3 linked regions of the Rhinolophus ferrumequinum genome follow. The protein of the gene in region 2 interacts with the protein of the main gene of each other region in a pairwise test. Links are inferred from orthologs where the notes say so. Each region holds a gene or a part of one and is shown on either strand. Other genes may lie near its edges.

Evidence for each region.
Region 1: the proteins of SGTA (region 2) and CDH15 interact in binary tests that used the Homo sapiens proteins (3 or more experiments, as listed by UniProt). The two-hybrid records come from large-scale screens. The link is inferred for Rhinolophus ferrumequinum from reciprocal best matches to the Homo sapiens genes SGTA and CDH15.
Region 3: the proteins of SGTA (region 2) and antileukoproteinase interact in binary tests that used the Homo sapiens proteins (3 or more experiments, as listed by UniProt). The two-hybrid records come from large-scale screens. The link is inferred for Rhinolophus ferrumequinum from reciprocal best matches to the Homo sapiens genes SGTA and SLPI.

Annotation. Positions count from the first base shown.
Region 1 is NC_046298.1:33,753,156-33,756,973, reverse strand, and holds the start of CDH15 (cadherin-15), read right to left. Parts: upstream 2,575-3,818; 5' UTR 2,443-2,574; coding exon 2,401-2,442; intron 1-2,400. UniProt on the Homo sapiens protein: Cadherins are calcium-dependent cell adhesion proteins. They preferentially interact with themselves in a homophilic manner in connecting cells; cadherins may thus contribute to the sorting of heterogeneous cell types.
Region 2 is NC_046301.1:60,670,308-60,673,907, reverse strand, and holds the start of SGTA (small glutamine-rich tetratricopeptide repeat-containing protein alpha), read right to left. Parts: upstream 2,548-3,600; 5' UTR 2,426-2,547; intron 1-2,425. UniProt on the Homo sapiens protein: Co-chaperone that binds misfolded and hydrophobic patches-containing client proteins in the cytosol. Mediates their targeting to the endoplasmic reticulum but also regulates their sorting to the proteasome when targeting fails.
Region 3 is NC_046306.1:12,646,907-12,650,724, reverse strand, and holds antileukoproteinase, read left to right. Parts: upstream 1-875; 5' UTR 876-913; coding exon 914-998; intron 999-1,903; coding exon 1,904-2,065; intron 2,066-2,496; coding exon 2,497-2,645; 3' UTR 2,646-3,466; downstream 3,467-3,818.

The sequences.
Region 1 (3,818 bases), on a different chromosome or scaffold from region 2:
CCTCACCCGCGTTCCCCTCCAGCTGCTGCAGGCTTCAGAGAAGGAATGAGGATGGCCACGCAAACGGGGGTAGGGAGGGGAGCTGTTTCCTCTGCCTGCCCCCCTCTGCTGGGACGAACACCACAACATAACTGCCACCAGGCTCCTGTCCTCCTTGGAGAGGACAGTGGTCCAGGAGCAGGCTTCCGCCTCTGCTTCGGTTACTATCACCCTAATGAGGGGCTGACAGCCCCGCCCTCTACTGGAGGAGATGGGTGAATCTGCTGTGGGTGCCATCCTGTTCCAGGCACTTTTCCACATTGCCTGGGGTTCTCCACACTTTGCAAAGCTCCCAGGAGTGCCACTGAGGCCCCATTTTTCTTCCAGACACCCTGTGGCTCACTGGCCAGACACAGGCTTGGGGCCCCTCCCAGCAGGGTGTGGGTCTGCCCTGAATCATCCATGTTACCCCAATCCAATCCCTCTGCCACCCCCAGATGGGGTGGGGTCCCCGAGTAAGCCCAGCTACTTGAGATGCTATGGGTTGAGGTGGGGGCGACAAAGGTCGGTTCTCACTCAGCCCCCTGGATGAGATTTTAGGGGATACAGGCAGGGGAGGGCCATGCTTCATCCAAGGCAACGGATCTGTGTAGTCTGGTCTCCAACTACCCCCTGAGCACCCTCCCCCCACCAGCCCATGCTGGGCCTGGGGCCAGCCTGCCTTGGGGGCTCCTGGAGGTGGAGGAAGAAGTATCCAGAGGTCGCCACAGGACCCATGTGGCTGGACAGGAGAGAACAAAAGTCTGAAAGCTGAGCTGGGTGGGGGAGGGGTGGGCAGGGTCCTGACAGACAGATTTAGGCAGGTCCAGCAACCACTCCCCTGTTCCCCTGGCTCTCCGCACTCCCCTCACACCGGAGCTAATTTGAGCACTGGTTGCGGGAACTCGAGCAGCCCAGAGGCCCTCACTGGCTGGTCCCCCACCAGCACCCGATCCTGAAGGCTCCAGTTGTCTGGAGGAGGAGGGATTCTTCAGTAGCCCTGGGGGAGGGGAGAGGAATCTGAGAGGGACTGACTCCCCTTCCCTGCAGCAGAGTGAAAGGTGAACATCCCTAGACCCAGAGAAAGGGGTCTGCAGGAATATACCTGTGAAGGTGCTGGGGCAGAAATGCCGTTCCTAGGCCAAGTGGGGAGGGAGCACGGGAGGCGTGGAGCCTTCTGGAGTGGATCCCAGTGTGTGGGGGCATCCAGGGGTACGGTCTCCCAGCAGAGGGCTGGAGGGGCCAGGCCATGCTGGGCCAAGGGTGACTAGGCTGTGCTGAGCCAGCTGGACAGCACAGGACTAGGCAGCAGGGACACTGTCTCCAATGGGGGACAGTGGGAAGGCCCAAAGGCGAGGGAGGAGGTGGACGGAGCCATGGGGCTAGGTGCCCGGAGGGGCCAGCTGCTGGAGGGTCCGGCTGGCGGGCATCTGGTCAGCTGCCAGGGCTGAAACCTGAGCTGGCCAGCTGGAGCTCGGAGGTCTGTGAGAATGAGGGGGACTCAGAAGCCACTATGGTGGGTGCTAGGAAGCTGTCTCTCCTCACCAGCATCCAGAGCTGCCTGATGGGCCTGGAACTGTAATAGCAAATGATGGTTCTACGTGACCTCTGCCTGGCCCTGGCCGTGGCCCCTGGCCTCTGACCTGTGACCTTGGCTTAGCCCAGTCCCCTGAAGGCAGGAGGCCATTGAGGCCACATGCTCCATTCCTGGCCTAGGCATTGAGGAGATCCAGGGGGTGCCCATTGTGGGGAGGAGGGGGTGGCCTGTGCTTCCTTCTACCCATCCTACTCCCTCATTGGGGAGGCCGGGGGACCAGCAAGGAGTGTGCAGGGTGGTGGGCTGTGTGCTGGGACCTGGTTCCCCTGGGCACAGGGCCCTCCCAAGGAAAAGTGGGTTCCTGGAAGGTAGAGCCTGAAGCTGCCAACGCTGGCAGGGCACACGGAGGGGGGCTTGGACTCCCCTCAAGACTAACGAATGTCATCCGCCAACTTGGCCTGGGGTTCCTACAGAGATCTAGCCTGCCAGCAACTCCAGCTGGGCAGTTCCCCACTCTCCCTGCCTCCCACCACAAGACTGACTACTCCAGTTCCCAGTAGAGCTGAGGGGCACACCTCAGAGGGAGGGGCTGGCCTGCTAGGCGGTCTCCTGGCCAGCTCGGCTCCCTGTCCAGTCCAGGGGGAGGCAGTTCCACTCCACTTTGGACCCTCCTACCCCCGGGACCCAGAGCGCCCTGGACAGCGCTGCCCCACCCAGGACCATCAGCTCAGGGGCCCCTAACGGCAACCAGGGCCAGTAGTACCGGGGACGACGGGGCGACACACTCTAAGACACCGTTGGGCAGTGCAGGGGGCCAGGGACCCCCGCAGGTGCCCATGCCTTACCTGGGCTAGCAGCCCGAGGGCGAGAAGGAGCACGGTTTCCATGGGCCGGCGGCGGGGCGACTGGCCGAGTGTCCGGCCGGGCCCGAGCTGTACCTCCTGCTTCGACAAAACCCGGCTGAGTGACAGCACAAGTGCGCGGGCGGTGGACAGAGTGAGTGACTACACGTGGCCGGGGCGGGGCCTGGTGCTGAATGACAGCACAAGTGCGAGGGCTGGGGGGCCGCATGTGTGCGTGGGGGGAAATGGGGGCTGGAGGGCGGGAGGTGGAGCCGGCGGGCTGAGTGAATGACAGTACGAGTGTGGCGGCGGGCCTGGGGCTGAGTGACAGCACAAGTGCGCGGGCGGGGCCGGGGCGGGGCCGAGTGAGTGACAAAATGTGTGCTGGGCGGAGTGGGGGGGGCTGGTCCAGGACAGAGTGACAACACATGTGCAGGGGGCGGGGGGAGGGGCGGGACCTGGGCTGAGTGACAGCACGCGTGTGGGGGCGGGGACTGGGCTGAAGAACAGCACACGTGTGGGCTGGGCTGGGCGATGAGTGACAGCACAAGTGTTAAGAGGGCGGGCCAAGGGCTGAGTGACAGCACGTGAAGCCTCTCGAGAGGCTGAAGGCAGGCCCAAGGACAGGCCCTGGCAGGCCGGGGAGTCAGGCAGCCGTCCTGGGATGCACAGCTTGCAGGGTCAGGCCATGGAACCAGGCCTGTCAGAAAAGGCAGCATTCTGTGAGGGTTGGGCTTTCTCTCTCTCTTTCTCTCTCTCTCTCTCTTTCTTGGTCCCCAAACTCGCCAGGCACACTCCTGCCTCAAGGCCTTTGCAATGGCTGTTCCCCCTGCCTGGAATGCTCTTCTCTGCTCTTTTCCAGGCTTGCTGCTCGCTGCCTTGAGGCTTTGTCTAATGGCATCTCTCCACCATCCTACTAGACACTGTTACTACCCAGCATAGTTATCTCCCATCTCCAATCCCTCTTGCTGAATTTGTTCCCTGCTTGGGGTGGAGCTCCCCTGGGGCGGGGTTGTTCCCTTCGGACTCCCAGGGCTAGCACAGCGGAAGGCCAGGCACAGACCCAGCCTCCCCCACTCCAGTCAGAAGCCTTTTCTTCTTCCTCTGGTCTCTGGTCTCCTTGGTTGGCAGGTATTTGGTTAGGATCTGATCGCTCTCCTCAAGACCCTGCATGCCTGGTGTGCATGTGTGCGTCTCTCACAGGTCCAGCAGAGGTAAGGGAGTAGGGAGAGGGAAGAAGGGGAGGAAGAACCTGTGGACCAACGTGCTTTCTTCTGAGCAGGAGCAGTGGGGCATGGAGCTGCTGACCAGCCCCCGCCTTAGTGCGGGGAGCCCGGGTGTGGGCCTTCTCTGTCACAGGAGCAGGATGGGGCCTCTGCTCCCCTCTCCAGATTGCTAGGCTGCGGAGCAGGTGCGGCACC
Region 2 (3,600 bases):
TCCGTGGGCGCTCTGCCCCTCCAGCAGGCATTCCACAGCTCCTGTCACAGACACAGGTGTCTGCAAGCTGGTACCATGTTCCTCCCTCCTATCCTAGAACCCCTCTTGTATCCAAGAAGGGCTGCCCCCAAACTAGAACTCGGGTTCCAGCCCAGCCCTGTTTTCTTCAAAAATGCCACCAGGATGTCCTGCACACTCAACAAATCCTCAACAGCTCCCTGAAACGTCACGTGGGCGCACACATGACCCGTCACCATGGGTGTGTCACCCGCTGGGCCTAATCTGAACCCTCTGTGCTCCACGCAAACCGACTGCTCGCCTTTCCTCTGACCCACTGGGGAAACTCTTACTCTATCTTCCACACTAAGCTTCAAAGTCACTGCCTCAGACAGAGTCTGGACACCTTCTTTTTCCAGCAAAGACCAAGTACGATTCCCACCTCTGGTCCAGCACCTCCTAAAAGGCTGTAGGACACTTTCCTGGCCTGTCTTACCCCAGTGGACTGTGGGCCATTGGATAGATCATCTGCCCTTGAACCCCAGCACTTGGGGGCGTTTGATCCATATGGACTCAAGACAACATAAGGTCACTGTTAAATTCAGAACCACACAACCAGGTTCCCTGTGGAGGTCATTCTCTTTGGGACTTGGTTTGCTCATTAGATCTTCAGTCTCACCTACCTACTCACAATCCCCTTTATTCCTTCAGTCCTCACTGAGCATTTCCTACCTCAGCCAGCATTGGGATTTGGCAGAAAAAATGCAGGATAGAGTAAGACTACAGCTCTCGACCTGGGGCCGAGGTTAACTCCATTTACAGTCACTCATCCTTCCAGAAGACTGAATTGTAAACCTCAGGTGAAATCCTTGGAGTCCCAAGGACCTTCCAGGCACTGAGCTAAGTGCTGTACATGCAATGGCTTATTTCGGAGGTTAGTAAACATTTTCAGAAAAGGGCCAGAGTAAATTCCTTCAACTTCCCAGGCCACAGGGTCTCTGTGGCAACGATTCAACACTACTAATACAATGTAAAAGCAGCCACAGATAAAGCCTATGCGATTGGTGTGGCTCTATCCATAAAACTTCATTTACAAAAACAAGCTGCAGCTGGACTTGCTCCCCTGACCAGTTTGCTGGATGCCTGGGTTGCTTTGTCTAATCCCCATCCCACAGAAAGGAAAACTGAGGCTTAGATGGATAGGTTGCCTCTCAAGGTCACCCAGCTAAGTCACAAATCAGTTTTGAACCCAGGCAGTCTGACTCCAGAGCTTAAACGCCAAAGTACCCTTTCCTGTCCCCACAAAAATGGGTGCACACACAAAACCTTGCACATGATTTCTTGTGCCTCCCCGCTCAAAACCCTCCTCCTCAAGCTCTTGCTGGTGAAGAACCAGTGGTATAATGGTAGGGTTTAACTTTGGGACTGCTGACATTTGGGGCTGACCATTCTCTGGGGGGCCGTCCTGGGCACTGTGGGGGTGTTGAGCAGCACCCCTGGCCGCCACCCATTCAGTGCCAGCAACACCCCAGTCATGACAACCATAGATGTCCCCATTGCCCAGTGTCCTCTCTGGTGGACAAAACCACTGGTCTAGAGAGAGGAAAAACAGACTGGTCATTCTCCAGTGAGCTCTTAACAAGCACCAGGAATCTGATTAAAAAATGTTCTAGGTATATTTAACCTCACAATAACCCTAGCAGGCATATATTTCTACAGTCTCTCTAGCAGAAGAATGGTGCTGCTCAGAGAGAGAAAGCGACTTGCCCAAGCTTACACAGCCAGCGGGAGGTGGTGGAGCTGGTCCTCAAGCCCAGATTTCTCCCGCCTCGCGTACAGCATGCAGAAGAGTCTAAGAGTGAAATAAGACTAACTGCTGATCCCTCTGTGCTCTCACTCTGCGCTGCGCTCTGTGGCTTTAAAACCACCACCCCCCGTCCCGAACCCCCCCAAGGCAGTGACTGTGACGACGCCCGTTTTACAGAGTGGAAAACTGAGACTCTGAGAAGTCAAGAGGGTGGCCAAGGTCACCCAGATGGAGAGCGGCGGCGCTGGGACAGGAGCCCCGACCTGAGCCTCACGAATGGGGGCCCCCCAATTGAAAGGGGCTGTTTCCCGACAGCAGCGGACACCCATAGCGGTATAACTACATGTGGGCGCTCTTACTTCCCGTTGTCTACCCACGGGCCTGAGAACTAGCATTTCCCGGGCCTGGGGTGCGGAGGAGGAAGGCCAGAGCTGGCAAGGGCCTGCCCGACGCCACCCAGCCTCAGTTTCCCCTCCGTGCCGCCCACTCACACAGCACACTGTTGTGGATCGCGGCGACCCCAGCCTCAGCCCGATCTCCCCTTACGGACCCCAAGGCCCCGAGAGCCCCGAGCCGCGGACCCCAGGCCCGCCCGGCTCAGCGCCGTGCCCACCTACTCACCGCTCAGGCCGCCGAACCCCGACCCACCGACGGCTGCGCCTGCGCACCGCGGCGGCGCCCAACCCCGCCCCCCCAGGCGCGACGCCTGCGCGGAAAGAGCCTCCTCGCGCGCTGGCTGTCATTTTGCGCAAGCGCGTCAATTATTCAGGTGGGCGTGGGGGGAAGTGACGAAGGTTAGAGGCGGGAACGAGCTGGTCGTTAGGGCAACTGACCTCTGCGACCGAGTGAAGGCCGGAAATCAAGACTGATTCGTCCTCTACAGCGGGAAGAGAGCGGTGCATGGTGGGACAGTGGCGGATTTCTCCGTGATAGCGGAGCGGGTCACGAGGCGCCGAGCTGGCCACGTGGTACAGCAGCATTTGGGTCTCGGGCGCCTAATTGGACGCAGGCGCTCTGTGAATGCGAGCAACTGATATCCACTATCTTTGTTCATTTATTCATCCACCCATTTACCCACGAATGCATTCATTCATTCTTTCAAGCCATAAATTGTAAAGGAATACAGAGATTGTTCACTGCAGGTCCCTAATAGTCAACAAACAGGTATTGCAAACCAAGTATAAAGACCAGCAGTGTTCACTCTCATTACCTTGTATTGGGGTAGACGGATTATAGTATAGTACACTAGTATATAAATGAATAAATTTCACTTAATGGGCAAGCGCTGTGAAGAAAAAATGGGGTGTTGTGCTTGTGATTGGGGAGGTAAGTTGGCTGGGATCGTCAGGGAGGGCCTTTTAACTGGATTTGAAGAATGAGGACAAACACTCCACGTACAGGGAACAGTGGAAATGAAGACTAACATAGAATTAAGCTTGGTATACTTAATAGAGGGTAAGTGATGAGAAATACCCTAGGATGACTCAGAACTGCCTACCACTGATGTTAAAGTTGCCAGAAGAGTTCTGCCGATTCGTTTCTATATTTAAAACGTATGCACGTTTAACGCCCTGGATTATTTTAATTTCTTTTGCAGAAATGAAGGAGGTGGGTTTGTTTTTGAAGTTTAGTTCTAGTAAATTTTTCTTTCTGGGTACTTTAGACGGTTTAAGATTTTGTTTGTTTTAACAGCGTTGTTTCGAAACACCTGTTGTTTGAAGTTCTGGATCCGTTTACTGAAGCTTTCTCGAGCATACTTAATTGCTTACGTTTCTGTTTTTTGTTTTGTTTTTTTT
Region 3 (3,818 bases), on a different chromosome or scaffold from region 2:
ACCTTCATTATAATCATGAGAGAGCAGTGGACTAATTTGGGGATGTGGGAGAAATTTTTGAGCCTGTTAAGTGGTGCTCTTTTTCTACCTGGCTGTTCAACTCATTGCTGAAAAGAGTCTTATTAGTTTATCTCAGAAAAATTGGTTCCAATGTGATTTGCTTCACATCAGTTTCCCTTCCAATCACAATGCCATGGGGTAGTGTGTCCACTGTCCTCAATGTCCTTTCCCCTGCTTATCTCAAATCCTTCTCGGTGACCTAGTCAGTTGTTATTATCCCCACTTCCCAGCTGGGAAGACTTAGGCCCAAAGAGATTTTCATTGCTGTCCCCACTGCACCTGTTATTCAACGAGGATTCTTTGAGAAACCCCTTTGTGACCCGCAGAGTGCCTGGAACTACAGGTATTATATCAGAACAAGCCAGGAGAAAGTGAGTGAATGTGTCAGCTGACGCTTACAGAAGGGAGGGACTTTGGGTAATCCCTAAGAGTCCGGGAGTGTGGGAAAGTCAAGGTTCATTGAAGGGTCACACCTCACTGATTGTTCCAGGTTTCTGAGAAGCTCCATTATGTCCCTCCGTTCGGCCCTTTAATCTCCCTTTTTCCCCTCCCCCTCTCACCCCAAAGGCAGGTGGTTCAGGGTTCTCTAAAGTGTTTGTGAATGGCTCCTGGCCATTCTGGTGACATGTCCCCCTCCAAGTTCTATATTTTCCTTCCTGGGCCCCAGGCTCTTGCCTAGAGCAGAAAAGAGCCACCAACACTCTACATGGCAAGGTCACTGTCTTTGCCTGAGTTTCCTGCTTATGAAATAGCAGCTGGGAGAGCCAAGACCATTCTGGTTGGGCCACACCCACAGGGAGAGGTATAAGGGCAAAGGCGGGCCCTGGCCACCTCAGCCCTACCTGCTCTCACTATGAAGCCCAGCAGCCTGGTCCCCTTTGTGGTGCTCCTGTCCCTTGGAATCCTGACGTTGAGGTCTGTGGAAGGGGCTAGCAAAGGTGAGTCAGTCTCAGGCCATCCAGGTTCTCGGCATGGCCTCTTCCTTTTAGCCCAGGTGACCTGGAAGCCATATTTCCAGTGGTCCAGCCTATGGCCCGTAATTTCAAGCATCTCTCCGAGGACTTCAACCAAGAGAGTTTCTGAGCTCCTGGAAACCCACCTTTCACCAAATGGACCTGTTGACCTCAGTACTTGTCATACTGTTTCTTTCTCTACGGTGCCTTCTCTACTGTTTGGTCGTTTTCTCTGTCACATTCTTTTCGTCTCCATCTGTGTAATTTTCCAACTTGTTCTCTTTTTCTCTTACTAGCTCTTTTTTGATGGTCACTTTCTCTTTCTCTATTTACTTATCAGTTGATCTGCTCTCTTTCTTTCAATCTCTGATGAGTTGTCTCTCCTGCTATCACTGCCCCTCTCTGTGTTCCTCCCAGCCAGGGTGTATCTCTCCCTCTACCTGGGCCGGGAACACCTAACCGTGAGCTCTATGCAGCTGGGTCCTGGAACTGGCTCATACTGGCTTGCAATAGCTGACTGGTAAATTTTCAAGACTTTTGTGGGCTAGTTGACATCACATTGGTAGCTTGAAATCAATTGTGAAGGGAGTATTTACACCATGGAAATTGGCGAACACTACAAAATCTCCCTCTTAAAACATTTACCAGCACACCACCATCTGTGTCTTCTTCCCTGGGCCATTGACACGCTCTTGGTTGAGAGCTTGGCTGAGCTTGCCACTGCCCCACACCTGCCTTAAAACTGGAATCCTAACTGCTCCTTCCCTTCTTTTGGGGTCAGCCACCTGGGTTAGGTTTTCTCTCCCCTCCTGAGAAGCTGGTTCCTTGTCCAGGATTATGGTCATGACTCAGAATCAAATCTTTCTCCTTCCTTTGTTCTTACCCTTCAGAAAAATCTAAATATGGAGCCTGCCCCTTCATATCCCCGGCGATGTGCCTTGTCTATGAACCCCCTCAGTGCCACAGTGACTGGCAGTGTCCAGAGAAGCAGAAATGTTGTCCTGACCTTTGTGGCATCAAATGCTTGGATCCTGTAGACCCATCAAAGCCAGGTGAGGAAGTAGAGTCCTGGAAAGGGGGACCAGGGAAATTTGAACGTGAGGACACGCATCTTGGAGAAGTGGAGGGGGCTTCTCTGAACTAGGCTGGATAATGGGGCAGAATCAGGCCTCGTCCATTCCCAGCTCAGCATTCTCAGGTTTTCAGTTGGTCAGTAGGTAAGCCAGTAGCCATTGGCCAGTCCATGAGTCAACTCATTGACAGCAGTCAGTCAGTCAATGAGTCAATCTGTCCTTCAGACATTTACAACACTGCTGGGAGCCTCCTCAGTGGGAAGGAATCTTCTTCAAGACATGCGCTTGACTCTGTTTGGGTACGGAGGTAGGGGAGGACCTGATTTCCATGCATGGGATAGAGATGGGGAAGGGAGCTTGGATGGTGTCTAGGGGATCAAGCCTCTGAGTAGTGGCTTTCTTCTCACCAGTTGCGGTCAACCCTGAGAATTGTCCAGTAGTCATTGGCCAGTGTAAGATGCTCAGCCCCAAAGACGACTGCCTGAATGACAGCCACTGCCTGAACGGTTTCAAGTGCTGCAAGGGGATGTGTGGAAACTCATGTGTCAAACCAGTGTGAGGTAAGGAGAAGATCTGGCAAGTCCACATTCCCCCCATCCTAATACAGCCTCAAACTCCGTGTGCTCTTCCAGGTAAAGGGGGACGCTTAGCGTCTCCCTGCAGCCCGCACCACCAAGCAGATCCTCTGCCCTTCAACAGTATTCACCCCCTGTTCTCCAAACAAGAAGTCTCCAGGCTCACTTGTGATTGGTAGTGCTGGGTCCTGGGAGGGAAGGATTCTTGGAATGAACTAGGAGGAAGGAGCCGTGTCACAAGGCTGCACAAGTTCTATCTTTTAATATCATCTCTGCCTCTGACTAACTGTGTGACTATGAGCAACTGACTGTATCTTCCATAACTTTTGTTTCCTAATCTGTAAAATGGACACAATTATATTAGTTGGTACAAAAGTAATTGCAGTTTTTTCCATTAAAAACCGCAATTATTTTTGCACCAACCTAATATCCACTGAGATACTACCTGTAAAAGTACTTTTTAAGATTGAAGTCCTATGTGCATTGAGTATTGCTATGGTTGTGGCCTCATTTGGTTGGGTTATCTGGACCCACAGGAAACCCTAGTATGATGCACAGATTTGGAGGCCCGATGCTCTGATTTTACCAGAGGGAAGACTAAAGCAGAGAGTCAGTGAAAAGCCTGAATTTGTTCTAGATTCCTAGATGAAAGACCAGTACTGTTTCAACTATTCCAGCACCGTGTTCTCTTGCACTCTCTTTATCCCAAGGGATTTCGGGCGTGATGGCAGAAGGGGAAAGATGTAAGGGGCACTTACTTGGATTGTTCCTGTGCTGAGGCTCTGTTTTATTTTCTTTCCACAAATTTATTTTTATCAGTTCAAAACCATTATGATTTCCTGGTATCTGCGGTCTGGGGATTCCTGCCGCACCCCCACCCCTGAAGCCTGGAGAAAATGAGAGTACCTTGATGAAGATGTAGCTTTGTAACCAATACTTTCTTGAGGTCTAAGTTTGGACCTGTTTTATCAACGTACGCCCAGCATCCAACATGAGGCTTGGCACACAAAAGGAACTGTCTGTTGATTAATGAACAAATAAATGTACAAAGTTTTCTCTACACTTCTATCTTCCTTGACTCATTGAGTCTGGTCTACAGTATGACGGGTGAGATGAAGAACGAAATATCCGCATGCACAGGGTTTCACCCACAACCT